Mus musculus: one gene and its partners. The protein of the gene in region 4 interacts with the protein of the main gene of each other region in a biochemical or structural test. Links are inferred from orthologs where the notes say so. Each region holds a gene or a part of one and is shown on either strand. Other genes may lie near its edges.

Region 1 (3,500 bases), on a different chromosome or scaffold from region 4:
CGCCGGTGCCATAGGGTCGCACTCAGATCCAAATCCTCATCCCGCCCTACTGCCACATAATCTCACAAGAGAGCAGTGTTGGAATGACGTCACTTCCAATGCACAACAGAGCCCTGGTGGACGCTGCTTTGTTTGTGCTCTCCACTATTCACTTACAACCACTCCCAAGGTTTACCGAACCAGTGAGTGTCTTCACTCTTAAATCTACACAAATACAGCTTTGGGATAAACTTAAATAGATCTCTTTGTCCAAGATGGCCCTTCCTGCCTGGGCTCGAGCGGTGGCGCTCCCGTCTCAGCTGTGGACGGTCACCCAAGAGCAGCATGGAAGCATCCGCCTGACCTGGGGCTGCGGCCTGGCCACGCGCCTTCTTAAAAACGAAGAGACAAGGCAGACACAGAAAGGTATCACAAAAAAAAAATGCATTACTTTATTGCACCAAGATCTTGGCAATATCTGGGGACCCCTGAAGAGGAAGTGGAAGAGTACGGGGATTCCTGCACACATACAGACGCAGCCACACAGGATGTTGGATGGAAACAGCCCCTAACAGGCAGGTGAGCAAGAACAGAAACACCAGGGAGGTGGCCCTCTGCAAATGGGCCTAAAACATGTCTACTGCCAAGCACAAAGTTCAAACTGATTTGATTTGACCCAACAAAATGACTACTTTTAGGAAAGCTTCAATTATTTATGTCAGTACGCCACCAAGAACTCATTCCACCCATGACCTGTTCCTAATGGCTTCTAAGGAAGAAAAGGACTTGCCATCACTGACAGCAACACACGCTGCCAGAAGTCAGGACAGTAGATGGGGGATCATGACTGCCTAAGAGGCAGTGGACTACGTGCCCCTGGAGGAGACTTTACACTGCGTAATCTAGAGCACAAAGGAAGGAACCAATCTGAGGAGACACGGAAGACAGATCAGTTCTGTGCTGGCAGCTTTACACCTTTCTACTAGAGAAGGCTGTAAAGAAAACCAATGTACCCAGGAAGCAGCTGCTACAGGAAGGATGGCAGTACCTCAGAAGGACGGTCCCTGCCCCCCTCTGAGAGAACACGGAGCCCACAGCACTCCCAGACACAATATCCAGACAGCAGCCACACAAGGACCATCGCATACAGCTGGAAGACTCACTCACCAGCAGACCCATCGAGGGGCACTGTTCTCGCCTTTTCTCTAAAGGGAAAGAAACAGACAGGAAGGAAACACCCACACAGAAACAGGACCTCAACTCCGGCCCACGGAGAACACAACCCTTTCTTCCCACATCTGCAGCAAGTAAGACCCTGAGCCTGCAGCTGAACAGAACGCTACACATGGAAATGAGAGGCAGCTCCAGCGCTCCCAAGAGGCCCAGACTAGGAGCCCAGCCCAGAGCAGGCTGGGGCTTGGGGAACGAAGAGATGCACCCCATGAGGAGGAACCTTCTGGCACCTTCTGTCTCCTGGGTGAGGAGTCTTGTTTGTTAACCCTAAGTCCATAGGGGCAGCTTGAGCAAGACAGGGAAGGAGATCATGTCAATGTCAAAGCACTCACAAAATTGAGCAAACAAAGCCAGTGTCTGCATATTAGAGAAACATATTGCTACTGGTAGCCACAGGCCTGGTCAAAAATAAAGGCTTTATCGTAAGTAGTAAAATAACGGAGAATTCGTCTCTAAAGACCACCACCTTGACAGAGATCCACAGGTTGTGGCAGATGCGGGAGCTTGCCAGTCTCCCCGCAGGGCTGGCAGCCACGGAAGCAGAGGCTCTCCCTGCCCAGCAGCTGCAGCTTTCTGGAAGAAGTGGTGGTCTTTCAAGGAGATGCACTTTGGGGGTGGGGATGGGGGCAGTGCAGTCAGCAGGGCTTGTTCTTGTTGCAGCTGATAGTCAGTCATACAGAGGCCCCTCTGAGAGGAGAGCCACGAGACAGCTCCAGCTTCAGAGAGCAAAGGACAGCTCACCAGAAAAGGCACCACCAAATGCCACCCTGGCCTCTGTTCCTTATCTGACAGCCCCAGGCCAGGAACGGTGTTCCTACTGGACCACAGGTCTATGAGGAAGATGCTCAACCTTTCCAGAGGTCTCCAAGGTTACTGTCAGCATGACACCACAGGCCAGGTTTTCTCTTGTGAGGTTCAACGTGAAACCACCAGAGGCCCTGAGCTGAGCACTTGCACCGGATCATCTGTGAACAGTGGGACCAGGAGCCTCCACCATGACCATGCACGATGCGATCCTCAGATCCAAGCAGACAGCTCCAAGGATGTGATGTGACAGCTCTGGATGCTGTGGCACAGGCACACTGCTCTTCCTGGTGAGAACAGAGATGTGACAATCTTATTACATCCCCGGGTCCTTCAACAGACACAGTCACACCTACAAATAACTAGAACACACTACAGACACAGGACACACACAAAAACTCGTGCACCACACACACCACACACAGACAGGCCACATATACCAAATGGTCACACACTATCCATATCACAAGCCACACATGCTGCATACATACCAGACACACTACCATAAATAGTTATACAACACATACACACAAGACAAACTCCACAGACCACACATATACCAGATACATACACTAGAGACTTACACATGCTACATGCACGCCAGATATACACATATGAGCTAACACAGAGACAGACATACAATACAGAGGTACACAACAACACACACATACCACAGACCACCTCTACACAAGCAGATAAGACACACAACCAAGCTGACCTCTAATGGCCACAGCAAGCTCAGCGGCGATAGCTGAGGCTGGCCACCTTAGCAGGATGCGTCACAGACCAAAAGTTGCGCCTACTCTGAAGCTTCTGGAAGGCATTGAAGTTTCTCTTCTTTTCTCTCTTGAACTTTTTAATTTTCTTTTCCTAAATCAAGAATCACAGTGTCACAGTTCCCAGAGAGGACATTTCCAAGCCTTGGAGCCTCCTGGACATAGATACAGTAAGCACGCCATGTATGGCGCCCTCTGATGGAGGTCCCATCCCTATTTGCCTGCCCAGTGTACTGGGGGCACAACTGGGGTCTCAACTGCTTTGTGCAGAGCTGCACGCAAGCTGCTCTCCAAGCTCAGGCTGAGCCATGGCTGACCGCTGCCCCAGCCCAGTCACAGCCTCGCACCGTACCTTCCCTCGATCAAACTCTTCATCCCAGTCGTCAACCACGGTCTGGGTCCGGGCTAGTCTGCTGTCTTTGATGGCGTCCTGACTGATGGCTGAAGGCTCGCCATCCCAGGTCAAAACTGTACAAGATATATTCTGTCAGCGTCCATGGGTCCTGGTCACCTATAGACTGTCCTCAGGACTCACTTTCTAGAATAGGGCCATCTATTCTAACCACTCTAGGTTTCTGACTGTCTCTTAACAGAAGCAAATGAAGGGAGGTCACACGACCCACGCTGTGACCGCTGTGTCCACCAACTGCAAATCCCTCTCTGTAAGCTGTGTGCTCCCACTTTAGGAAAAGGCCCTTTTGTTCACAT
Region 2 (3,500 bases), on a different chromosome or scaffold from region 4:
GGCACATGTATATACACACGCACAGGGGTGGGGTGTGTGCATGCACATGTAATTATAAGACTTAAGTTAAAAACCTATTAACTTGTATAAGCTTACAGACAAACATTTCAATGCAAAGAAAAAGGATAGGCTATCTAAGCAGTAAAGAAAAAGTTCTAAATGATGAATTATTTTTAAACATGATGTACACTTTAGGATTACAGATGGAGCTTAGTGGCAAGGGCCCTAGCAAGGATAAGGCCCTGGGTTCAATCCCTAGTATTGCCTCCCTTTAAAAACAAATTAAACTCCCTCTAAAAACTAAAGAACAACAAGCAAGCAAACAAACAAAAACCCCAACTGAATTGTTAAAATACTTTTTAAAAGCTTTTGCAAAGGAAGTAAGAAATAACTATATAAGTAAATCTATACCATCTAAAAATATGCATCAAAGAATTTAAAATGATTTTTGACAAAGCATAAGAGCAGAAACATTTAAAGTGAGATGAAACCAGTGAGAATTATGCTGCGAACAGATATATACAGAAAGAAATAAGCTTCCCCCAGACCCAAATTTTTTTTGTCTAAAGACTGTAAACCAATTAAAAAGAGGAGAGATCCTGTTTTTAATGCACACACCTTGGTTGCTTGGCAGAGCCTTTGTTTTAGCAACTCTACAGGGGTTTAACTGAAGAACTGATGCAAGCTCACATCCTCCATGGACTGCTCTGCTCTTTACTTTTGTTGGCACAAGAGAACCAGTACCCTAAGCAGAAATAATTATTAGCACCTAAATGAAATCACAAACAATTTTAATCAAAATCTCTGAACATTTAACACAAACCTTCACATCACCAAAGAGATTCTCTGTCTCCAAACTTTCCTGTGAACATGGAGGTGTTTTGAAGACAGGATTTTCTTCTTTTATCTGTAATGGTGTTTTTTGGTCTGGAGAGAATTTACTAGAGGACTGGAGGCTCCTCGGCTGTAAGCAGTATGTCTCCCAAGAGTCTTTGGCTGGCATGCAGTCCCCACTCAAGGCTTTACGGCCTGAGGAGGAGCCCTTTGGAATGGGCTTCAAAGCCTCGTAAATAGTGGCTTGCTTAAGTTTGTTTTTAGAAGTCTCGTTTCCGTGGTTCTTCTCTTGCCGCTGAGTAGCTGCAAACCGATCTGACAGGTCCAGAGGTTTATCCATCACATGGTCTCCATTCATGGAGAACTGATTCTCCATTGGGAAAGGAAGGGCATTTTCCTTATCAAAACAGGCCTGGGGGCACTTTACTGCATGCTCACTTTCCTCCTCAGTCCTCTTCCTTTTGGATGCTTTGCCTCCCAGGGATTTCAAAGGCACCAAATATTTATCAGCAACAGTAGTATTCATGTGGTCAGCACTGCACTGTTCATCTACAGAGTCACTTACAGTTTTATTTGTAAGTATCTGTTTACTAGAAAATGACTGGCTAATGACCTTCACTTCTGACCCAAGACTATGTTGTGTGAAAAGGGCATTATCCTCAGATTTGGATCTAACTTTCTCTGATCTAGAAACAGCAATGTTGCTAAAGGGAGCTGTCTTCAGAAGGTTTTTTTTCCCAATGTCTAAGAGAGAGGGGGAGAAACTTGTATTCAAACCCAAATGAGCTTTCACAGTAGAGGTAGCTCCAAATACCGGAGATGACGCCCGAGTAGTAAATTCTTGAGGAGGTGTCTTTGAAGCAGAGTCTGAAAATCTAAATAAATAAAGAATATGTAAGATTTTGTTTTTAACTGAAAATAGGGTAAAAATTTAAAAAAACAGAAAACATTTCTTGCTACAGAATAGTAAGGCATTATCCACCTATTAGAGGCAGAGGGTTAACACAAATGTAAGATGCAGTGGTTTCTTCTTATTTAGCAGAACAGAAAATGAAAGTAGAAATGAAGCCCACTGAGGACTTTTGCTATCATTAAATTTTATAAGTAATCCCAAGGAAAAAATTCCTAAACTACAGAACTGAATGCAAGCTCTCTCAATAGAACTTGAACAAGATATTCAACCTTTGGAGTCACATTTTTGTTATCTATTTAAAGAAAAGAGGAACAGGTGAATAAAACTCAACTTGACAAGTTATTAACAGATGTACCTAAAACCAAGCAAGATATGAGAAGGAAGCATGAGAGAAGGGGCATGAATGAGACGACAAAAGAAATCCTCTAAGCTTCAATCAATTCATACACTAACAATGGTTTATCAACATAGGTCCTGCTAGTAAATAGTATGAAATTTGAGAAAAACAAAACAAAAACAAAATAGGGCTAGACAGGTGGCTCAGCGGTTGAAAGCACTGGCAACCCTTGCAGAGGATTCAGATTGAGGTCCAGTACCTACGTGGTGGCTCTCAGTCATTTATAACTCCAGTTCAAGGGCTTCTGACCCGTTACCTCCTGGGAATCCATGGTGCACATCCACATCACAGGCTCACACACAACTATAATATAAAGTGGATCTTCCACACCAGTTAGTGTTTGGAGACACAATGTAATGACTGTATTTAATGGGCTAAAGCAAAACTGGGAGCTCTTAATGCTGCTTGATGATACAGGAAAAGAATATAGACATAGTATCTGCAGCCCTTTGGGGGAGTACAGTATTGCTGATATTCAGCCTTGTAGGGTTTATTGAGCTACACTAACAAAACAAAACAGAACAAAAAAATATATGCTCAAAATTACCTTAAGCTATCTTCCTTACTTCTTGCAGATTCCATAAAAGGGTGTTTTTTGTGATCTTCTTTGAGACAGTGGTAGAGTTCACTTCCCAGAGGGCTCATGGGACCTTGGGGTTCCTTCAATAGTAAAGTATGCTTAAAGTTGATAAATGCTACAATGCAAATAAATCCCAAAAACATATGAAGTAAACGGAGCCAGAATGAAGAGCTATATAATCAGACAGAATGAAGCTGTATAATATTGTGAATGTATAAATAGCACTGTATTGCAGACTTTGAAGTGACTAGTTTTGTTATTTAAATTTTATCACAATAAAAATACGAAGAGAAGGAAGTACTAGTATTTTATACTTTATACAACTTACTACTGCATAGAAATAGTTCAATACCAAAATACATTAAAATGAAGGGTAGAAAACACAGTGAATGTAAAAGCAAACTTTAGAGGAAATTCTCAAGACTGCATACAAGTCAACTGGGAATCATTAAAACACAAGTTTGAATAGATCTGAAATTCTGTGCCTGTAATACATTCAAGAATGATAAAGACGCTGTTTGCCGTGAATGGACTGTAAGAAAAGTTCTTTGATAGCTCCTCCCTTATTTTCATATCTGAACTTGTTAGATCTATGGCTAGTAAGGAACTAGAGACTATTAAATACACAAAATGTAATGAAAAATGAACTCAAGGTTTAGAAACTCAACAGTCAGACAGTTTTCTAAGAAAAAAAAAAGCAAAGAAGGACTATTTTAAATCTGTCACTTGTTTGTTTTAGTTTTGTTAGTGGTCAAACTCAGGGCCTTGCATACATC
Region 3 (3,500 bases), on a different chromosome or scaffold from region 4:
ATTTTGTACTATGTATTTATGTGAATGGGTACTTTAAAACTGATATGTTCTATATCCAACAATATCAAACATTTATCCAAATTTAATGTATGTATTTGCTCTCTTGTGTGTCAATGGAAGCCAGAAGTGGTCACCCTGGCATGTTTCTCAATCACTTTTCTATCTTATTTTTTAAGACAGACTCTATCACTGAACCTGGAGCTCACTGATCCCACGAGACTAGATGGCCTCCTAGCCTCTGGGATCTGCCTGTCTCTGTCTCCAGAATCACCACTGGGGTCACAGATGCAGAGACTTTATATGGGTGGTGGGGACCTAAATTCAGATGCTGCACACTCTTGTAGGGAAATCACTTTACTCACTGAGCAATCTTCTTAGCCACCCACTTAATTCTTTTTATGTAAAAATAGGCACAATTATTTCATTAGAATGCAATATTTCCACTTTTAATAAATAGTAAAGTATGTATAATAAAACACTGTTTCTGAAAGTTTATGATTTATTATCATCTGTAAATGTTCAATTTGTATATTTAGTTCATATTCCTGGGATCACAAAAAACTGATCATGAATAGAAAAAGTCTGAAATCCTGTTATAAAACTGAAACATTTAATTATATTTAACATGATAAAGTAAAAATCTAGAATATTTAAGCATCCACTATCTTGATTCTATACTTCACTAAATAGTTCAAAATTGTATCTTCACTTGTTTATCATTTCATTTTCAGAAGTATTAAACAAGTGGGGGTGGGTGGATATGGGGGACTTTTGGTATAGCATTGGAAATGTAAATGAGCTAAATACCTAATAAAAAATGGAAAAAAAAAAGAAGTATTAAACAAGTTGTCTCAAAACAGCAATAATTAGCATGTAGGAAAAAAAACCCTAAAATACTTTTCTTACTTTCTGACACTAAAAATAAAAATTTATTCTAATTAAATAGGTAACAGAAAAATATAAGCCCATACTCATACTGCGATATATAAATCACACTTGGAATATAGGTACTTTATTTTAGCTTTTGTTGTTGCTGTTGTCGTCCTTGTTTTTGGCAGAAGCCTAAGGCTGGTCTTAGATGCATGGTGATATCCTGTGTCAGCCTCTGAAGTACTGATATCACAGGTATTAGCTACCATATCTGGGTTAGAAGAGTAAGTGCCTTCATCGTTCAGAAAGCAGTTCAAAAGTGTTAAGTCTAAACGATAGCTATTAAAACTTATTTCAAAGTACCTATAAAGAATTATAAAAAAGAATCTGAAGTATACTCAGAATATAATTCATTATATACAATGTCCACAACAGGTAAATTCAGAAATGTAATGCAAAAGCTATGTTGACTACACCTAGGAGATGCAGGACAATAAAAGCAAATGATTATGTGCGTTTTTTCTCGTTGAATATATGCTAGAACTGACTTGCAGTGGTGAACAAACATCTTCGTGATATATACTTAAAATGGGTAATTTATGTTAGTACAAAAAGAATGCTTAAGAAATACTAACTACACTGAAGACAGAGAAGAGACTAGCACATACAGGTTTAAGGATGTAATCATGGGCTGTCACAACAATTCGTGGGTGTCAAGATCTCTCTTATGAGAAGGATCTGTCCAATCTGTTTTGTCATAAAGGTCCTAAGCTTCCCTGTATTAGTCATAGAAAGTACACGGTAAGTAAGATGCACCCATCTCCTTGCCCATATTTTGCTTGTAAAGGGGAAAGGAGAGAAGATGGATTTTCACTAAGAAACTGTCAGGTTCCTGACATGGTGGCCAAGCTCTGCTATAATCTCATGAACACCTAGCAGTGATCCTATGAAGCAGGCATTATCTTACCTCATTTTAACACAACACCAAGGGGGTCAAAAAAAAAAAAAAAATCAAGGATTATAACCAAAATCACCTAACAAGAATACAGAAGTGCCAGGAATGGATTTGCCCTCAGAAGCCTCCTGTAGCTGCATTCCCTTCTACCAACTTCCTCAAAATGGCCTGAGATGCCAAGTCCCTTGTGAACAGGCTCAAGAATGGAACACAAGGCAAAAATACTTAAACTCCCACTTCCCAGACATGTCGAATTTTTTCAGCAAAATTTAATCTCCTGTAAATAATGTGCTTTCTTGAAGTATTTCAACTGTACCAAAGCAGATGAAAATTGCTTTCTATAGTTACTTCTCACACAGATATTTCAAAACCATCCCAAGAACAATTCATTTCAAGTACAATGAACAGTAGTGAACTATAAATCGACAAACCCTTTGGTTGGACTGCTTTGTGTTTCTGACATAAAGATGCATTTCCTTTTGGCGGGAGGGTCTTCCTCTTCATCAGAAGAGCTCTCTATTGTTAGATCAATAACATCTATCTTCTTCTTGCTTGCATCACTGGCTACAGTCACTGAACAAGGTTTACTAAAGACACTTGAACCTGGATGGAAATAAACAGGGGGACAAAAAAAGAAATATCAAAGAATTAACAAAAACTAGCTATAGAAGTCTTAAATATGTGCATATATACATGAAAATACACAGCTAAGGAAACCATATTCTCTAGCAGGGACTAACTCAACATAAGTGAGGACTGCCAGGGCTATTCCTGACAGAGGTCAGAAGCCCCCTTCACAGCATGCTCTCTCCAGCACTATCAGTGGGTTACTACAGAACCTGGGGCTACTCATGTTGTCTTTCTAGGTTAGCAATCCGTGTACAGACAGAACATGAGGGTTAGACAACTGGCCTTATCCCGTGGGACAAGAGTATAGAATGTGACCAGCTCTGCACTGTCATCATACACGTGTGGCAGTATTGAGTATGCAGTGTCAGTAGCTGCATGTTTCTATATGCGGCACCGCTGAGTTAGAGACAGACATTTCAACTCCAGTGGTCGTATAAAAGTCACAAGCTGGTAAACAAAGCTACTATGGCATGAATCATCTAGTCACTACTCATTCAGTCTATACAAGCAATCACATTTATCATATTATATAACATTATTCTCTATAACCTACCACAAAAAAATGAATGCTATTTCATTAGGGAAAAACCATCAGACATAAATCAATAAAACCATACCTGCCCACACTTTACACTAATGTGGACAACCCATGCAATGTGACTCCTAAGAGTTCGAGCAATCACAAGAGAACAAGTAACAGAGTACTTGCTCAATTCAACAGAGCCAGAAGAAAATCAAAGGAAATGAGTCCAGAGGTTGCATGTGCACATGGACTTCAACTTACCAAACTCCTTTAGCAGGGCCCTTCAGTGCAGATAGCTAAAGGAGCTAAAAGTAAGTACACACGCTGGGTAACTAAAGCTATAGAATCCCTACACCAACAAATGGAAGAATCTGCTCAGTAACAGCTAATTCATGACCAGTCTCCACACTGATTAATAAATGATATATATGGCCGCTCCAACCACAATAGGTTCTATAAAGATATACAAAACAGTTCCTAATCCTTCTGTCTCTCAAGTGTGCTTCTGTGCAATGGCATGCA
Region 4 (3,500 bases):
GGGTTAGAATACTAGCTGCTCCTCTAGTGGACCAAGGTTGGATTCTAACATCCCATGACAGTTCCACTACAACTCCCGTCCTAGGGGATTTGACACCCTTTTCTGGCTTCCATGAGCGCTACACATACATGATCCACAAACATATATATCTACACATATTAAACATATATATCTACACATATTAAAAACAGGGAAAAAATTGGGGTTGGGGTGAAACAGGTTTTCCTGTGTAGCCTTGGCTGTCCTGGAAGTTCCTCCACATACCAGACTGGCCTCAAACTCAGAGATCTGCCTGCCTCTGCTTACCAGGTGCTGGGATCAGAGGTGTGTGCAATCACTCTTCAGTGGGTTTTAAAAAAAAAAAATTAAGGTGGCTGCCAGAAGTGCCTCTGTGGAGGCCTGGCCCAATTGTGAGACAGATGGGCTGGAGGAACTGATGAAATTAGTTTGGGGTCTTGACACCCAAACCCTCTCCATTTGCTTATCATTGTGCCCATGGCATAAGTCACTCTCAGGTCCTTCCTCACAGCTCTGCTTGGAGAGGCATGCAGTAACTCAGAGCCATTCTGTCTGCACAGAGCAGTTAGGGAGGTTTCTAGGATTCAGCCTTAATGCTGGTGTTGATGCTTTGTCTCATTCTTATTAACTTATTAGCATTTTGTGATGCTTGGGATTGAACCCAGGGCCTCACAGATGCTAGCTAGACAAGCGTTCCATCACTACACTCCCACCTTTCTTTTATTTAAAGCTCGAGGACAGTAAGGGTTTAACAAAATTGGGGGTGGGGGTGGCATCTTTCATCCCACCAGAGTTCAAGGCAGGTCAGCCAGGGCTGTATAGAGAAACCCACTTTTAAAAAACAAAAGAAAGAAAAGAAGGAACAAACATTCATTCCCTCCCCAGAGCAGCAGTAGTTGTAAGTCTCCATACGAGCCCCGATCCTCTGGAAGAACAGTTAGTGTTCCTAACCTCTAAGCCCTTTATCCAACCCCACCTCACCCCTGTTTTGTTGTTTGTTAAACAAGATATCACTAAGATGCCTAGGCTGGCCTTCCATTCATAATCTTCTTGCTTAGCCTACAGAGTAGTTGGTATAGGTGTGTAGTTGATGCTGCTGCTCAGCTCATTTGTTTGTAGTACTGGGAACTCAGCCAAAACCTGATGTATACCAGGGAAGTGTGCTGCCGCAGAGCTGCCCCCCGCCCCCCCAGACCCCTTCATTTACTAAAAAACAAGCTGCCTTTAGACTTGTACTTTTGGGGGTGTACAGGTTTGAAAATAAAGCGAAAGAAGGTTGCCTAGATCAAAGTGAGGCACCTTCTCAAGTATCAGCTATAGAATAGTACCTGAGTTTGGAGTAGATTTTTCTACTATTGTAGAGAAATGTGGTGTACTTGAAGCCTGTGTACACTGAAAAGGTCTTTGGGGCATGCATTCTAGCCTCTTTCCTCTTCCTATGAACATGAGAAGAGCATAGGCTTAGTCCCTCTGGCTCCTGACCATGGTGTCTTCTGGCTGCTTTGTCTAGGCTCAGCTCCTCAGGAAGGAAAGGCGTACTCTCCTCTTTCTGGACCCTCTGCTATTGAGTTTCTGAGTTTGTATCTTTTAAAAGAGCTCTAGTGTCAGGAAGACCGGTCAGGGCCAGCACAGGATGGGGACAGCATCTGCCTCCAAAAGTATTCCTTCCCCTCCCTGTCCTCCAGGTAAATTTGAGCCCCCACTGTTTCATCCAAACGTGTATCCTTCTGGCACAGTGTGCCTGTCCATCCTGGAGGAAGACAAGGACTGGAGGCCAGCTATCACCATCAAACAGGTATGGAGTAGCACCTGACTGCCCTCTTAGGGGTTTGTCCTGGTCACAGTAGCCAACAGTGTTTTTCACAAGCCCTCTCAATGTAAGCTGATTGGTTTGCTTTGGTTTTTGGAGACAGGGTTTCTCTGTGTAGCCCTGGCTGTCCTGGAACTCACTCTGTAGATCAGGCTGGCCTCGAACTCAGAAATCCGCCCGCCTCTGCCTCCCAAGTGCTGGGATTAAAGGCGTGCACCACCATGCCCGGCGAGCTGATTGTTTTTGTTTCTCTTACAGATCTTATTAGGAATACAAGAACTTCTAAATGAACCAAATATTCAAGACCCAGCTCAAGCAGAGGCCTACACAATTTACTGGTTAGTAGCAACTGCCAGCTGGCTAACCTTCCTTTCCTGGAAGTGCAGACTGGCTGCCTGTCAGGTTGGAGCTCTGGGATATGAGAGCTGAGAGGGAGTCCCGGGGAAGAGGCGCATACTCCCACTGGGTGGCAGCACCACAAGAGCCACCAAGGACACTGCATGTCTGACTGGTCAGGAACAGAGCCATGTGTACACGGAGCTTACTCTGAGCAAGGACAGGGCCCAGATGTGACTGTGGGCATAGAACAGGTGGTGTGGGCACTGATGGGCCATTTGGAGTGATCTGTGGTAGGTGTATAAAAGGTTGTGGCCCATTGCATAACACAGCCTCGCTGATAGAGTGCTCTTGGCTCTTTTTCTATCTACTGAAGGAGAATAACCTCCCATGATCAGTTAGGACTTGAATAACAGTTGAGCCAGTTCTGTAGGCAGCACGGAAAACACTTAAAATAGAGGTCCAACGAGTATGTGAGTGCACACACTCACGCTTCATCCTTGCTGACTGTGAGGATCCTGCTAATCTAGGCAAGGACTAAAGTTACTGTGGCTGGAATTCATTCCTAAGATTAGTGTTACTGCAGGGACCTTGACCCCACTGTTCTCCCTGTGTCTCAAGTACCAACCGCCTACTCACCCCAATGGAAATAGAGCAGAGGTCCTCTGAGCAGAGTCCCAGGCACCCCTGTCTTAGCCCATGGCTCTAGGGAGGTCTGTCAACCCACTAGAACTATGTGGGACAGGAAGGAGTGGGTGTGCACTGTATTGTCAGGGAAGGAATCAGAAGAAAATTGGGTGCATATCCAACCTTGATACTTGTGTGCTGCCTTCTCTGGTGGCCAGGGCAAGCCTGTCTAGCATCCCTGGGAATGTAGCTTACACCCATTGGTGCAATGTTGTGTACTGACTGCCTGTGCTCCAGGGTCTTTCAGGCCTGACCCTGTGTAAGATGCTGTGACAGGTCAGCTCCATCAGTGTTGTGTTGTGCTGCCTGCACCAGGCACAGGCACAAGGAGTATGCAGCTCATGAAGCGGTGTGCTTCTGCCAAGCCCTTGGAGCCCCTCATTGCGCTGGTGCTCAGCAGCACTCTGCCTTAGACCAAGCTCTGTTCACGGTTGGCCTTAAGGTGTGGTTCCCGGCTAGCTAACATGGCTCTGTTTTTCCAGCACTTAGTGCAGTCCTTGGTGCTGGGGTTTCTCTCCTGCATCATCTGGGTTTCTGTCAATAACATGTTTTGTGCCTGCTTTCACTGTGTATGTAGAAGCTCTTGCCCCTCCTTCCTGAGTGGCCTTGCTGTCATAGCCTTGTTTAGTGAATGGCAGTACTCTTGGTT
Region 5 (3,971 bases), on a different chromosome or scaffold from region 4:
CTCCGTCACCTGCACCTCAAAGGTCAGTGTCACACTTAAGGCCCAGAGTTGGCTGAGCAGCAGGACACTGGATGGTCACTGGAGACCAAGACAAAGCCACTCCAAAAATCTCTTTGGGGCCCCTACCCCAAGACTGGGTTACAACCAATGGGACATGAGCTCAACTCTGGATTCACCCTCTGAAGCCTGCATAGTCACCCCAGGGCCCAGAGACATCAAAAGCCCTGGTCCTGGGACTGAGCCCCCCCACGCCACCCCAATCTTCCCGTGCAGCAGGTGTCTCTCATTTCTGCATCTCCCTGGCTCCCTACATCAGGTATTAATGTATTACTTATGGCAGCTTCAGAGTTCTGAAAAACCAGCCGTTTTCAATAGAAAATGGCATGGACAAGGCTTGACAGGAGTGATGAAATTTTCTTCTGCTCTGGCAATTAGGACGGCACAAAGTCGCCTTTCCTTTGGTGCCACCCCCAACATCAAAGGATTGGAATTCAAAGCCGTTCATGCTGCATTGAAACCTCACAATGAGGCTGGAAAATGGAAGTCGATTACTGGGCAAAAATATGCAGTAGTTAAAAGGAAAGAGTTCTAACGAAATTAAGCTGCAGCAGCCCCACGACGTGTGGAAACTTCCAGCACCAGAGCTCTTCTGGTAAACATCAAGAGGGACATCCTCCTAACACAGGTTTGAAAGCAAAGTCAAGCTAGGAGCCAGGAGCCCCAGGAAGATAGAGTGCTATGTTCTCTTGCCCACCTCACCAGCAGCAGCCCCTAGCTTCTGAGAAGGTGCCATCTGGGGGCTTTATATGTTGCACAGCTCTCTGATGTTGCTAACCACAGACATTCTTGCTAGGGCTGCTTAGGTCACATCTGTCCTTGGTCTCTAGGCTATCCAGGCCCCGTCTGCAGTTCACAGTCATTCTTCTCCCCCACAGGGCTCCCAGATACCCTGTAAGCAGCCTGCAGACCCCTAAAGGGGGCAGTGTTACCTCTGCCTTCTAGCAAACCCAGCCTCTTCTGGGTGATTACTGCTCTTCAGGAAGGCATTTGATCTTTAAAAGAAAAGCCAGAACACAGAAAACCATAGAAGTCTTACAGTGTGTCGGGTGTGTGTTTTTAAAGCATGAAAATACTTCCCTCCCACACAAACGGGGAGTTCTTCTGGGGAAAGATGCCACAGATCCCGAGGAGTGGCAGATCTGGGAAAGCGGATGGGTCTTAAAAATAGACAATTGAACCTAGACTAGAGCTGCAAAGCTACCTGGGGGAAAAAAATGAGAATTTTTAACTAAATCTCACATATTTTTTGATATCCAAAACTCCATCCTGATGAAACTTCTAACTGGGTGGCATTTTGCATTTCCAATTATAATGGAGTAATTGTGTTGCCATAGTGACTGCAAAATTCTGCAATAACTTTTGCTGCCTTGTAACTGCTATAGTGTATATTTGTGTACAAGCAGCTGAGTTTTCTTAATTCAACCTCCTTGCCTCTCCACAAGCACTACACCTACCTACACCACCACCACCACCATCACCTTCTTTCTGGGTGGATTTTGAAACCACTACACTAGCTTTCATCAAGCCGGTCCTGAAATAATGCACGGAATTATCAGAAGCAATTAAAACTCCTGGCAACCTCGATCATATCACGGAGGAAAAACCGAAACCAGGTCAAGGTGCAAGCCGCCAGCATCCCCCTAGCCCCAAAGTGCGACAGGGCCATGGCTGTTTACACGTTAATACTCGCAGGCCTTAAATGCTTAGGTGGTTTGTGGGAACAGACAGAAAAGCCTGAGCAGAGAAAAGCAGGGAGGCAAAGTGACTACACAGGCCTTTCCTTCCTCCCCGGGCAGGCAGAGTGGCTCTCGGAAAGCAATTAGGTAGGTCTCTACAGTAATGCAATTAGGATTTAGTTAAGAAAGTCATTAGTTCTAAAATAACTTAAGTTTAATTTCTGCGACGCTTTATTTGAAAATCGTGTCACAGCAGGTCAATTTACAGCATGCAATAACCAAAACACTGCTATCAGCGGCTGCAAGTTATTAACAAATTCTCGGTGTGCATTAAAGGAGAACACGGGTTCCACACCCGGCCTTTCCGACCGACTCCCGCTGTGTGAGCTACAAGCTGTGCCTTCGGAACCCTCGCTCAGGGTGGACACCGGTCGTCTCCGGGGCTAGCGCAGCTCCTCGCCAGCCCAGCGACGGTCCGGGCCCGGCCGCGGCCCCCGCCCCGCCGCCCGCCGCCGCCGAGGGGCGTTTTCTGCAAACTCACAGGCTGACAAAGTTACATAAACGCCCCGGCCCCCGCCCCCGCGCGCCCACCTGCCCGCCCGCCGGCGCAGGCCGCTCTCCCGCCCGCCAGCCCGCGGCGCAGGGCCCCGAGGCCTCGGCGGGGCCGGGCGTCCACCTGCCGCCAGCAACCGGGCGGCGCGGACAATGACGGCCGGTGGCTTACCGCGGCGGCGGCGGGCCGCGTCTAGCCCTGCTCCGGCGCTCCGAGCCGCATCTCCTCAGCCTGCGCCGCCGCCGGCGGGCGGGCGGGCTCGGGCGGCGACGGCGACAGCAGCCGCGTTGAGCGGGCCGGGCGTGAGGCGGCGCGGCGGCGGCGGCGCGAGCAGGCGCGCGGGCTCGGGCTCGGGCGGCGGCGGGGATGGTGCTCCGCGGCAGCGGCCCCACAACCTCCCCTCCTCATTCACAAAAAATTGACCCACGTTGAACCATGATGCTGCTCCCCCTCGAGCGCAGAGCCGCGCGGGGATAGGCCGCGCCCTACGCCCGTCAGGCGCCCCAGCCCCGCCCCTCCCGTCGGCGGCCCACCAGCCATTGGCTACAACGGCTTTGCGTCACCTCCCCCCGTGGGCGCCGCCCCCTGCCTGGTTTCTAATGAAGAAAGCGTCAATTACGGCTCGGCCCCGCCTCCAAGAATTCAGCCGCCCTTCCATTGGTCCGAGAGTCCTAAGTCCGCCCCACAATAGCCCAACAGCCAGCCCCGCTTCGCGGGCGCTGCGAAGGGGCTCCGCCTTCGTCCGCCCTTCTCAAAAGTTCCAAACCCCATTGGCTCCCAGCATTGTCAATTCTAATGAGCGGGGCGTACCGAAGACTCTCCAGGCGCCCGCTCTGAGAGCTTTTGCTGTTTTAGAAAGAGCAGGGAGCTGGTGCGCGAACTGATTGAAGCCGTGGACAGACCTCCTTGGCAGCCCGCGGCGCTGCCCGGGTCAATACAGTGTGCCTGAGCGCCTGTCTCATGCTCTAAGGGGGCGCGGAAGAGCACAGACTAAGGCGAGGGCCCGGCCGGGCCTGGCGGCAACCTCCATCTTAGGCAAGGCACAGATCACGTGGGCTGCGTGCGGGGGACGCCGAGCCCAGAGGGAGTGCGCAGGCGCGGCGGGCCCCGCCCTGCCCCGGGGCAGGCGCGCCGCTTGGGGGTGCGGCTGTGACTGTGGGGCCTTGCGTGGCCGTGGGAACTGGGGGTTCTGGGACCGCTGCTGTTGCGGAGGTGTATTCTTGGTTCGCCGCCACGGCGTCCCGGTTTGTTGGGACCACCCCTTCTCTGAGGTTCTTCTAGACCTGGGCCAAGCGCCTATAATTGGCGTTCACGAATGTGGATGGGCGTGAAAGGCCATCCTTCTGGCTCCCTTGGGTCCATTTCCTTTCATCAGGAGAGTAGTGCAATTTCTCATCCTGTGTCCATGATATTTCCAGAATCCCACATCCAAAACGAAGACAAGAGCATCTGGTCCACCCTACATGGCCTGACCTAGGATGCTGACCTATTTACTAGGCCTTGCCTGATAGGAGTTGAGTAGAGATTTAATAGCATTTTTGTTCCATGACTGGGGGAAAATTGAAGGTAAAACAATTCGCAAGAAGCAATAGATTCTTTTCATTATCTCAAGGTAATACTGAGTTAGAAAGCTTCATTCACTGGGAGAAATTCATACTCTAGGATAGCTCAGCTGTGAAGCC
Region 6 (3,500 bases), on a different chromosome or scaffold from region 4:
TCTTTTCTCAAAAAAAAAAAAATCAACTTTATAATATTATATAGAAACAATTTATGCCACAATAGCATTTTGCTGCATTCTAAATGAGATTAATATCTCACACTTACAACTATGTAAGTACTAATAATAATTCAAAAGAATTAAAATTTATTACAGAAATCTAAAACTTAACCAGAAGCCTACTCATTGTAATAATTGAGAGACATCTCATCTCATAATGGGTAGTATTGCTCAACCAGACTGTATGAAACATAGGGAATACATCACAAAACAAACTTGTGCTACAGGTACATTATCAGCTTAGAAGACATAACCTAAAAGGCAAATAGGTGGTGTAGCTCTTCCTCAGCACACTCAAGATTCTGTGTTGGAAAAGGATTTTTTGAGTAAGGTGTTTCCTGTTTTCCCCACTCAGTCTGAACAAGAGTTGCCAGCAAAACAGCAACATGATTCAAATATAATGGAGGGGAATACAAACAAACAAACAAACAAATGGGGGCAAAAAGACAAGGTAGCAGTAGCCTATAATTGTAGCATTCGGAAGGCTGGGAAAGGAGGATTGTGCATTTGAAACTGGTCTCAGCTACAAAATCAGCATCTCAAAACAAAAAATAAAAATAGATAAGGAAATTTTAAGGAATGTGTTCCCTGGTATGTTTGTTTTCATAAACTAAATATTCCCCAATAGTGTTCTTATTTTGGGTGGGGAGCCTTTGCACTGCACTGGCTTTGTCCCACCCACAAAGAACCTACTTGATTTGTTTTAAATGGGCTGTGGAAGGATTAAGTAACAGCTATAGCACCGGAGTGGTGGAGGGTGTGTAGGTTCCCAGCAATCATCGTAGTACTTTGTGGGAAAAGTTGAGCTCCCGGAAACAAAAAGAAACTGTTGAGTCAGAGTTGAAATGGCAGGTCCTTAACAGCGGCTGCAATTCTGTGCTTCAGCCAACTCATGTCCTGTGCAGAGGCGGCCAGGGGGAAGTCCAGGGCAAGGCAGCAATGTCCTGCCTACCAGTACTTACTTATCAGTTTGCACTAGTAAGTCAAACACTCTTGACTTATTTGGAGGAGTTTTATAACCAAAGGGAGGAAATCCTAGGAGGACCAACAGAGAAAAGGAAACTAGAGGTAGGGACCACAGGCCTTAGTTTCCTTGAAACCCCACAATAAAAAAAAAAAAAAAAAAAAACTACTTTCTATCGTCATCACCTTGGCTTTCACAGTGAGGCTTTTCCAGCGAGCTGTCTAAAGTTAGTGAGCTCAGGTCAGGCTACAGAATACAGCAATTGTCTTTTTCAAGGTCTTAAGGCCTTTTCTCTTCACTAGGAAGTTTAAATTTGTGTATTTTCGTAAATCTTCAGGAATGATCTAGTGTGTAGGGTGTCTTACAGTTTCTGGTCAAACTGGTTAGCTAATCTAAAAACTTGCCAGTCACACCACCAAGTGTTTTATGCCACTGACTTCCTACATAGATTAAATCAGTAGTCTCTATCTATCTGGGACTTGGGTGTCTGAACACAAGCATATTCAATAAACATTTCCGAACCTTTCGAAAATATTAGTTGAACATCCATTTCCCAAAACATGTGATTTTTTTCCATTTTCATTTTTTTCACCCCTAGATTTTGGAGAATGACGGTATGTGGGGGTGTGTTTGTAAAAATAAGGTATCAGGTTGGGTATTATTAGTAATCAGTGATGGGAATCTTTAATTCCAGCACTCAGGCAGAGACAAGCAGGCCTCTGAGATCAAAGCCAGCTAAGACTACAAAAATGAGACCTTATCTCAAAAAAAAAAAAAAAAAAGAGGGAGGGAGAGAGAGAAATAAAATATCTTAAGGATGAGACCCAGGTCAAAATTCACTTGTTTCATATACAGATTTCAATTATTGGATGCTAATAAACCCGTCTCATCCTAAACCCACAGGCATCTATGCTCCTAAAGCCATTGCTGGCGGTTAAAGAGATACACCAAGGGGCTGGTGAGATGGCTCAGTGGGTAAGAGCACCCGACTGCTCTTCTGAAGGTCCAGAGTTCAAATCCCAGCAACCACATGGTGGCTCACAACCATCTGTAACAAAATCTGACGCCCTCTTCTTCTGGAGTGTCTGAAGACAGCTACAGTATACTTACATATAATAAATAAATAAATCTAAAAAAAAAAAAAAAAAAAAAAAAAAGAGATACACCAAATAGCTCTGAATGGTTTTGCTATTTTGGTGTCCAGTGTCTCTCCCTGTTAGTAAATACATTTATTTGATTCATAAACACCCAGTCCTACCTCTCATCTATTAACCTGGTGAATTATAAATACATAGAGAGTTTGAGAACGAACTCTAGCATCTCTGGACAGAACTCTTAGAATGAAGGAGTCAGTTGGACATTACTACCTGATACACAGTCAGTCGAAGGATTGTGAGAGGCTACTCTCAGATCCCTCAACCCAAGGACAAAAACACAGATGTGGAACTCTCAGACATTTTAGAAAGTTCCAAGAGACCCAAGGAGGCCAGATAAGGTGGCATGTGCCTCAGGAGCAGATGGGTACATCTACTGAATTCAAGGACAGCTGATCTATATTATCAAGTTACAGGCCAGGCAGGGCTACACAGTTAGAAATGTCTCAAAAAAATAAAATTAAGAGACCTAGGCAGAGCGTTTCTTTAAAATTCACCTGTCAAAGGCACAGTTGCACTACTTAGAGTGACATAGCTTAGGTTTCTTACCTATAAGCTGAATGATGGCCACTAATCCTTTGCTAATACAATTTCTAGTGATAAGCAGCATGTTGGCATACTATATTATCACTAAGTGCTACTATTTAAATGAGAACTCAATACAGAACAGCTTCCTATTGAGTTACACACTCAAAATAAAAACCTTCAATGTGTATTTTATAGGCTGTGAGCCAAACAGATAAACCTTTTTAGACTACAGATAAGACATTAACAGCCCCCTTTTTCATATTTTTCAAGCAGCAAAGGGGTCCTTCTGAATTAAACACCTGAGATTCCTTTTCCCAAGCCACACATAGACAATAAAACAAAGTGAAATAACTAGCTAGGACTGTGCAATATAGGCAGTGCCCTCATTTTCTAACCCTGAATAGAAACAAACCATTCTTAGCCAAAATTCAAACAACCTGAAATAACTCACCATCATAGTAAAACTTGACACTCTCTGGCAGAGGCTCATATGGTGGAGCGAAGACAGGCCCTTTATGCTCTAGGAATTTCCATTTGATGCCTTCTGGATAACGTTCTTCTTCCCACCTTTCAAAGACAAGGCACAAGCTCATTAAGTGATCACCTGGCTTAGTAAAAAGATCCTCACCTATTAAATTCAAAATAATTAACTAATCAATTTGTGGTGCCCATTCAAAGGCTGTGTCTCACTGAAAAGAGCAGCAATTTCAAGCAAACTGAAAGAATATGGTAATTAAAAAAATTTCATTTCAACAGTTTCAATTTAGAGATACTAAGTATTAAAAGACCATCCA
Region 7 (3,930 bases), on a different chromosome or scaffold from region 4:
TGTTTTGTTTTGTTTTGTTTTTGCTACATCTCTGGAAGAGGTGAGGACTGGAGGCCAGATGTGGATGCTTGCAAGTCCTTGAGGCCCACAGCCTGGTGTGTTTCACGAACAGGTAAGGTCCTCCCTAGGTCGACGGGAACCTTCGAGGGAAGACGTGTTTCTCCTCTCTGTAATGCACCAGCTCGGGCAGTGGCACGTCTGGATGCCGGCTGCCTTGCCTTCTCTGACTGCTCACAGGGCCAGCAGCGTGGGTGAGCTCAGGGAGTCGGAGGAGGGCTCGTTGCTGCTGCTGCCCTTTCGGTGGGCAGCGGCACAGCTTGGGAAGGAGTCAGCTTCAGGGTAGGTGAAGACAAAGGAAGACGTGTAAGTAGTGCAGCCCGGAGTACAGGTGACCACGGGAGTACACAGGGGCTCCAGCTCTGTGACCATGGGCCCCATCCCCAAGGAATTGCTGTGCAGAGGCTCCCAGTCTGCTGCATAGAAGGAACCGGACAGGTCCACATCTGGCACAGAGCGGGAGGTCTCTGAGCCACTGGGCCTAGATGATGCCGGAAACAAGAAGTCATCAAAGGGTTCTGCCTTCAGCTCCACGTTGCTGATGCTCTTGACTGGCTCCAAGGATGGCTTGGGCTCAGGGTCGTTGAGAAGGGGCAGGGTGAAGGCCTCCTCAGACTCTGGGGTGGAAGCCTCAGGCAGACCTCCAGTCAAATCCAGGGAGGCCACAGACATCTCCTCTGGGAAGCCAAGGTCATCGGGGATCTTGCAGGCAGGTCGGTGGGCTGCCAAAATAAACTCCAGTTTTTCCTTCTCTTTCAGCAGATTGGCAATCTCAGTCTGCAACGCAGACTTCTCATCTTCAAGTTGATCTGTCTCCTGCATAGGGAGAGATATAAGAAAGCATAAGACACGGGCATGCTCAAGGACCCTGCGCCCATAGTCCCAAGCTCCAACTTTAATAAAGTTTCAGGAGCAGCAGCTGGTTCAACCTACCGCTTGGAGTGTATCTGTCAGCTCCCTCCTCCGATTCCGGCACTTGGCTGCAGCCATCTTATTCCGTTCCCTTCGGATTCTCCGTTTCTCTTCCTCTTCAGGAGATAGCTATAGAAGAAAAGGACCAACATTCAGTTAAGGTTGTCTAGTGTCACCTCCATTCAGTCACCCCAGTGAAACTGGCTCCTACAGCACCCGCACCTCTCGGTGAAGCAGTTTTTCTAACCTGCAGTTGGCAGGCAGAGTGTGATTTGCATTTAAAGTGAGATCTTTAGCAGGGGAACAAAGAAGCTCCCCGGCTAGAGAATGAAGTAGGAAGCTGTCAGGGAAACTGTCTAGAGTTTGTCTTGGGTCCAACTGTCAAAATCTGACAAGGGAGGGAAAGGGCTAGCAGCCACAGCTCCTGGTCAGGAAGTGCAGTCAGTAGCGTCCCTTCTCTGTTGTGTGGTCTGTGCGTCAGTCTCCGCCCCCCCCCCCCCCCCCAGCCCACAAAGGTCCAGAATCGCTGCTCACCTGCTCTACTTTGCCCCTTCTGCCGATGCTCTGCGCTCTGCCTCCTGACACGGTCTTCACCATTCCCGCTCTGGCGTAAGCCCCAGCAGACTGGGTGGGGAGTCCGTAAGGATGGGGCGCTCTGGTCTGCGATGGGGCCACGGAGGAGACCAGAGTGGGCTGCACCAGCCACTGCAGGTCTGGGCTGGTGGAGATGGCTGTCACCGTGGGGATAAAGTTGGCACTAGAGACGGACAGATCTGCGCAAAAGTCCTGAAACAAAACAAAAAGAGGAAAGCGGAGGTGAGCGAGGAGGTTCCAGACACAGGTGGAGCAAGTGGCCCTAGTGTCGCATGAAGCAGGGAGAGAGAAGCATTCCGGTCAGAGACTGCTTATGTCTTCCTGTATGCACCTCATCGGAGATAAAAGCTCTCCCAATATCCTCCCTTGAATTCCGCAGCGCAGCCTTTCTCCTCCATCCTACTGCTGCGTTCCCGTTATCCCTTCGGCATCACTCGCTCGAAAGGGGGTTTGTTATAAATATCCCTGACGTCTGCGCTGACGCAGGCGCTGCTCCGGAGTCTCCAGAATGAACTCGCTTTTTATCAATGAAACTGCCTTACACACCCGCCCGCAGCACCCTCCTCCCTCCTCCCTCCTCCCTGCTCCAGGCTGCCCCGGGAGGGGGGATTGCCGCGGTTTGCCGCCTCCCAAACTCTAGTTAGCGACTCTTTGCTCGAGACTTGTTGGCCCCGGCTGATCTCAGAAACAAGTCGGCCGAGAGAAGAATGCAGGCAGGCCACTCAGAATAAACCTGCCGCGCGGGAAGGGGTCACTAAGTCTTACTATGACAAGTGTGCACGCGCTCAGACAAGTCCTGGGTTCCCAGGCTAAGGCTGCTCTGACCGCGCCAGTCTCCCTCCAGAGCGAAAAAGGAAGACCCCCCCGCCCCTGCGAGTCACACCCCAGTGTCTCCTCCACGGCGACCCTCAGCGCGGACCTGGCGGCTACACAAAGCCAAACTCACCTGTGTGTTGACAGGAGAGCCCATGCTGGAGAAGGAGTCGGCTGGGGAATGGTAGTAGGAAAGGCTGTCCCCGGCCGGGGAGGCGCTACTGCAGCGGGAGGATGACGCCTCGTAGTCGGCGTTGAAACCCGAGAACATCATGGTCGAAGTTTGGGGAAAGCCCGGCAAGGGGTCCAGGGGTAGACACTGGTGGGAGCTGCAGAGCAGAGCTGGGTGGGAGCGCGGTCACTGCTCGTTCGCGGAACCGCCGGCTCTATCCAGTCTTCTCAGTTGCTCGCTGCAGTCGCGGTTGGAGTAGTAGGCGCCTCAGCTGGCGCCTTTATAGAAGCGCTGTGAATGGATGGACTTCCTACGTCACTGGGCGGAACTGGAAGGGGGGGGAAGCGCGCCCCAAGGCCCTCTGCGGGCGCTCTGTCGTCAACTCTACGCCCCAGGCTTTCAACCCCCGTCTTGGCATACATCTTTCACCTATGAGTGTTCACATTTGGGATCTTAGGGGGTCTCCTAGACCTTCCGCGTGTAGGATTTCGGAGATGGTCCCCCCCCCAGAACAACAGGGACCGGCCGTGGAAACCTGCTGACGCAGATGTCCTAATATGGACATCCTGTGTAAAGGAGGGAGGGATTGACGGGAACAGCTCGCCGGCTGCAGCCAACTCTGAGGGTGCAGCGCAGGGGGGGAACCGGGGCCGCGGCCGGGGGAGGGGAGGCGGGAAAGGCAGAGAAGGCGAGCGAACATTCGCACCTGATTCAATGTGGACCCGGTTCCCAGGGTCAAGGGATGAGACCCGGGTCATTGTCCAGCAATCTGGAACTTTTTTTTTTTTTTTGAGTCTCTGGTATTAGGAGAAGCAAGTACGCAGCCTTAAAGGCTCGAAGCCTCTGTTCCTAAAGGAAAGCTTGCCCACATCAGCCCCCCATCCCAAATCAGTGCAGAGAAGAAAAAGGGGGGGTCAGCTTCTCAGCCCCTCTCTCCAGCTCCTTGCCTGGAGAAACTTTAGGACTGAGGTTGGAAGCAGCAAGTGAAGGATTGTAAATAAGTGTACAATAACCTGATTTAACTACAGTACTGGGTTCATTCATAAATTCGTGTTTTAAAGGACGGCAGCACCTACTCCCCGACCCTTAGCCACTTAGAGCTATCAAGGCGACAGTCCCCGTTGACACTGACGGATAAACATTGTGCAAAACCACCCTACAAGTATGCCTGAAGGGGTCGTATGTTTAGTTTTGAGCTGAGACCAGAGGGCGAGTCGGGGCAGGGGGGGAGCTCAGAATTACAAAGTGAGGTGAGCTCGGGGGGGGGGGGGGAGGAGAAAGCAAGTCGGTGCTGGGGAGATGGGGGTCTGAATACGTGCAGCCTGGAAACTGCGCTTACAAGGAACCCGCCTGCAGCGGGTGATTTTCCAGATCGGACTTGG

Evidence for each region.
Region 1: the proteins of Ube2i (region 4) and Usp36 form a complex in vitro, tested with the Homo sapiens proteins (2 studies listed by BioGRID). The link is inferred for Mus musculus from reciprocal best matches to the Homo sapiens genes UBE2I and USP36.
Region 2: the proteins of Ube2i (region 4) and Rbbp8 form a complex in vitro, tested with the Homo sapiens proteins (2 studies listed by BioGRID, with this or other methods). The link is inferred for Mus musculus from reciprocal best matches to the Homo sapiens genes UBE2I and RBBP8.
Region 3: the proteins of Ube2i (region 4) and Pias2 form a complex in vitro, tested with the Homo sapiens proteins (3 studies listed by BioGRID). The link is inferred for Mus musculus from reciprocal best matches to the Homo sapiens genes UBE2I and PIAS2.
Region 5: of the proteins of Ube2i (region 4) and Hdac4, one has a biochemical effect on the other in vitro, tested with the Homo sapiens proteins (3 studies listed by BioGRID). The link is inferred for Mus musculus from reciprocal best matches to the Homo sapiens genes UBE2I and HDAC4.
Region 6: the proteins of Ube2i (region 4) and Top1 form a complex in vitro, tested with the Homo sapiens proteins (2 studies listed by BioGRID, with this or other methods). The link is inferred for Mus musculus from reciprocal best matches to the Homo sapiens genes UBE2I and TOP1.
Region 7: of the proteins of Ube2i (region 4) and Fos, one has a biochemical effect on the other in vitro, tested with the Homo sapiens proteins (3 studies listed by BioGRID). The link is inferred for Mus musculus from reciprocal best matches to the Homo sapiens genes UBE2I and FOS.

What each region holds. Positions count from the first base shown.
Region 1 is NC_000077.6:118,259,245-118,262,744, forward strand, and holds the end of Usp36 (ubiquitin carboxyl-terminal hydrolase 36), read right to left. Parts: intron 3,261-3,500; coding exon 3,145-3,260; intron 2,887-3,144; coding exon 2,755-2,886; 3' UTR 2,735-2,754; intron 2,304-2,734; 3' UTR 409-2,303; downstream 1-408. UniProt on the Homo sapiens protein: Deubiquitinase essential for the regulation of nucleolar structure and function. Required for cell and organism viability.
Region 2 is NC_000084.6:11,719,849-11,723,348, reverse strand, and holds part of Rbbp8 (DNA endonuclease RBBP8), read right to left. Parts: intron 2,840-3,500; exon of another isoform or gene 2,805-2,839; coding exon 2,692-2,804; intron 1,710-2,691; coding exon 824-1,709; intron 746-823; coding exon 619-745; intron 1-618. UniProt on the Homo sapiens protein: Endonuclease that cooperates with the MRE11-RAD50-NBN (MRN) complex in DNA-end resection, the first step of double-strand break (DSB) repair through the homologous recombination (HR) pathway.
Region 3 is NC_000084.6:77,134,708-77,138,207, reverse strand, and holds part of Pias2 (E3 SUMO-protein ligase PIAS2), read right to left. Parts: intron 2,429-3,500; coding exon 2,257-2,428; intron 1-2,256. UniProt on the Homo sapiens protein: Functions as an E3-type small ubiquitin-like modifier (SUMO) ligase, stabilizing the interaction between UBE2I and the substrate, and as a SUMO-tethering factor.
Region 4 is NC_000083.6:25,263,432-25,266,931, reverse strand, and holds part of Ube2i (SUMO-conjugating enzyme UBC9), read left to right. Parts: intron 1-1,703; coding exon 1,704-1,813; intron 1,814-2,086; coding exon 2,087-2,166; intron 2,167-3,500. UniProt on the Homo sapiens protein: Accepts the ubiquitin-like proteins SUMO1, SUMO2, SUMO3, SUMO4 and SUMO1P1/SUMO5 from the UBLE1A-UBLE1B E1 complex and catalyzes their covalent attachment to other proteins with the help of an E3 ligase such as RANBP2, CBX4 and ZNF451.
Region 5 is NC_000067.6:92,177,542-92,181,512, forward strand, and holds the start of Hdac4 (histone deacetylase 4), read right to left. Parts: upstream 2,801-3,971; 5' UTR 2,717-2,800; exon of another isoform or gene 2,461-2,716; intron 1-2,460. UniProt on the Homo sapiens protein: Responsible for the deacetylation of lysine residues on the N-terminal part of the core histones (H2A, H2B, H3 and H4).
Region 6 is NC_000068.7:160,697,897-160,701,396, reverse strand, and holds part of Top1 (DNA topoisomerase 1), read right to left. Parts: intron 3,274-3,500; coding exon 3,158-3,273; intron 1-3,157. UniProt on the Homo sapiens protein: Releases the supercoiling and torsional tension of DNA introduced during the DNA replication and transcription by transiently cleaving and rejoining one strand of the DNA duplex.
Region 7 is NC_000078.6:85,472,760-85,476,689, reverse strand, and holds the start of Fos (proto-oncogene c-Fos), read right to left. Parts: upstream 2,801-3,930; 5' UTR 2,651-2,800; coding exon 2,510-2,650; intron 1,756-2,509; coding exon 1,504-1,755; intron 1,099-1,503; coding exon 991-1,098; intron 874-990; coding exon 232-873; 3' UTR 1-231. UniProt on the Homo sapiens protein: Nuclear phosphoprotein which forms a tight but non-covalently linked complex with the JUN/AP-1 transcription factor. In the heterodimer, FOS and JUN/AP-1 basic regions each seems to interact with symmetrical DNA half sites.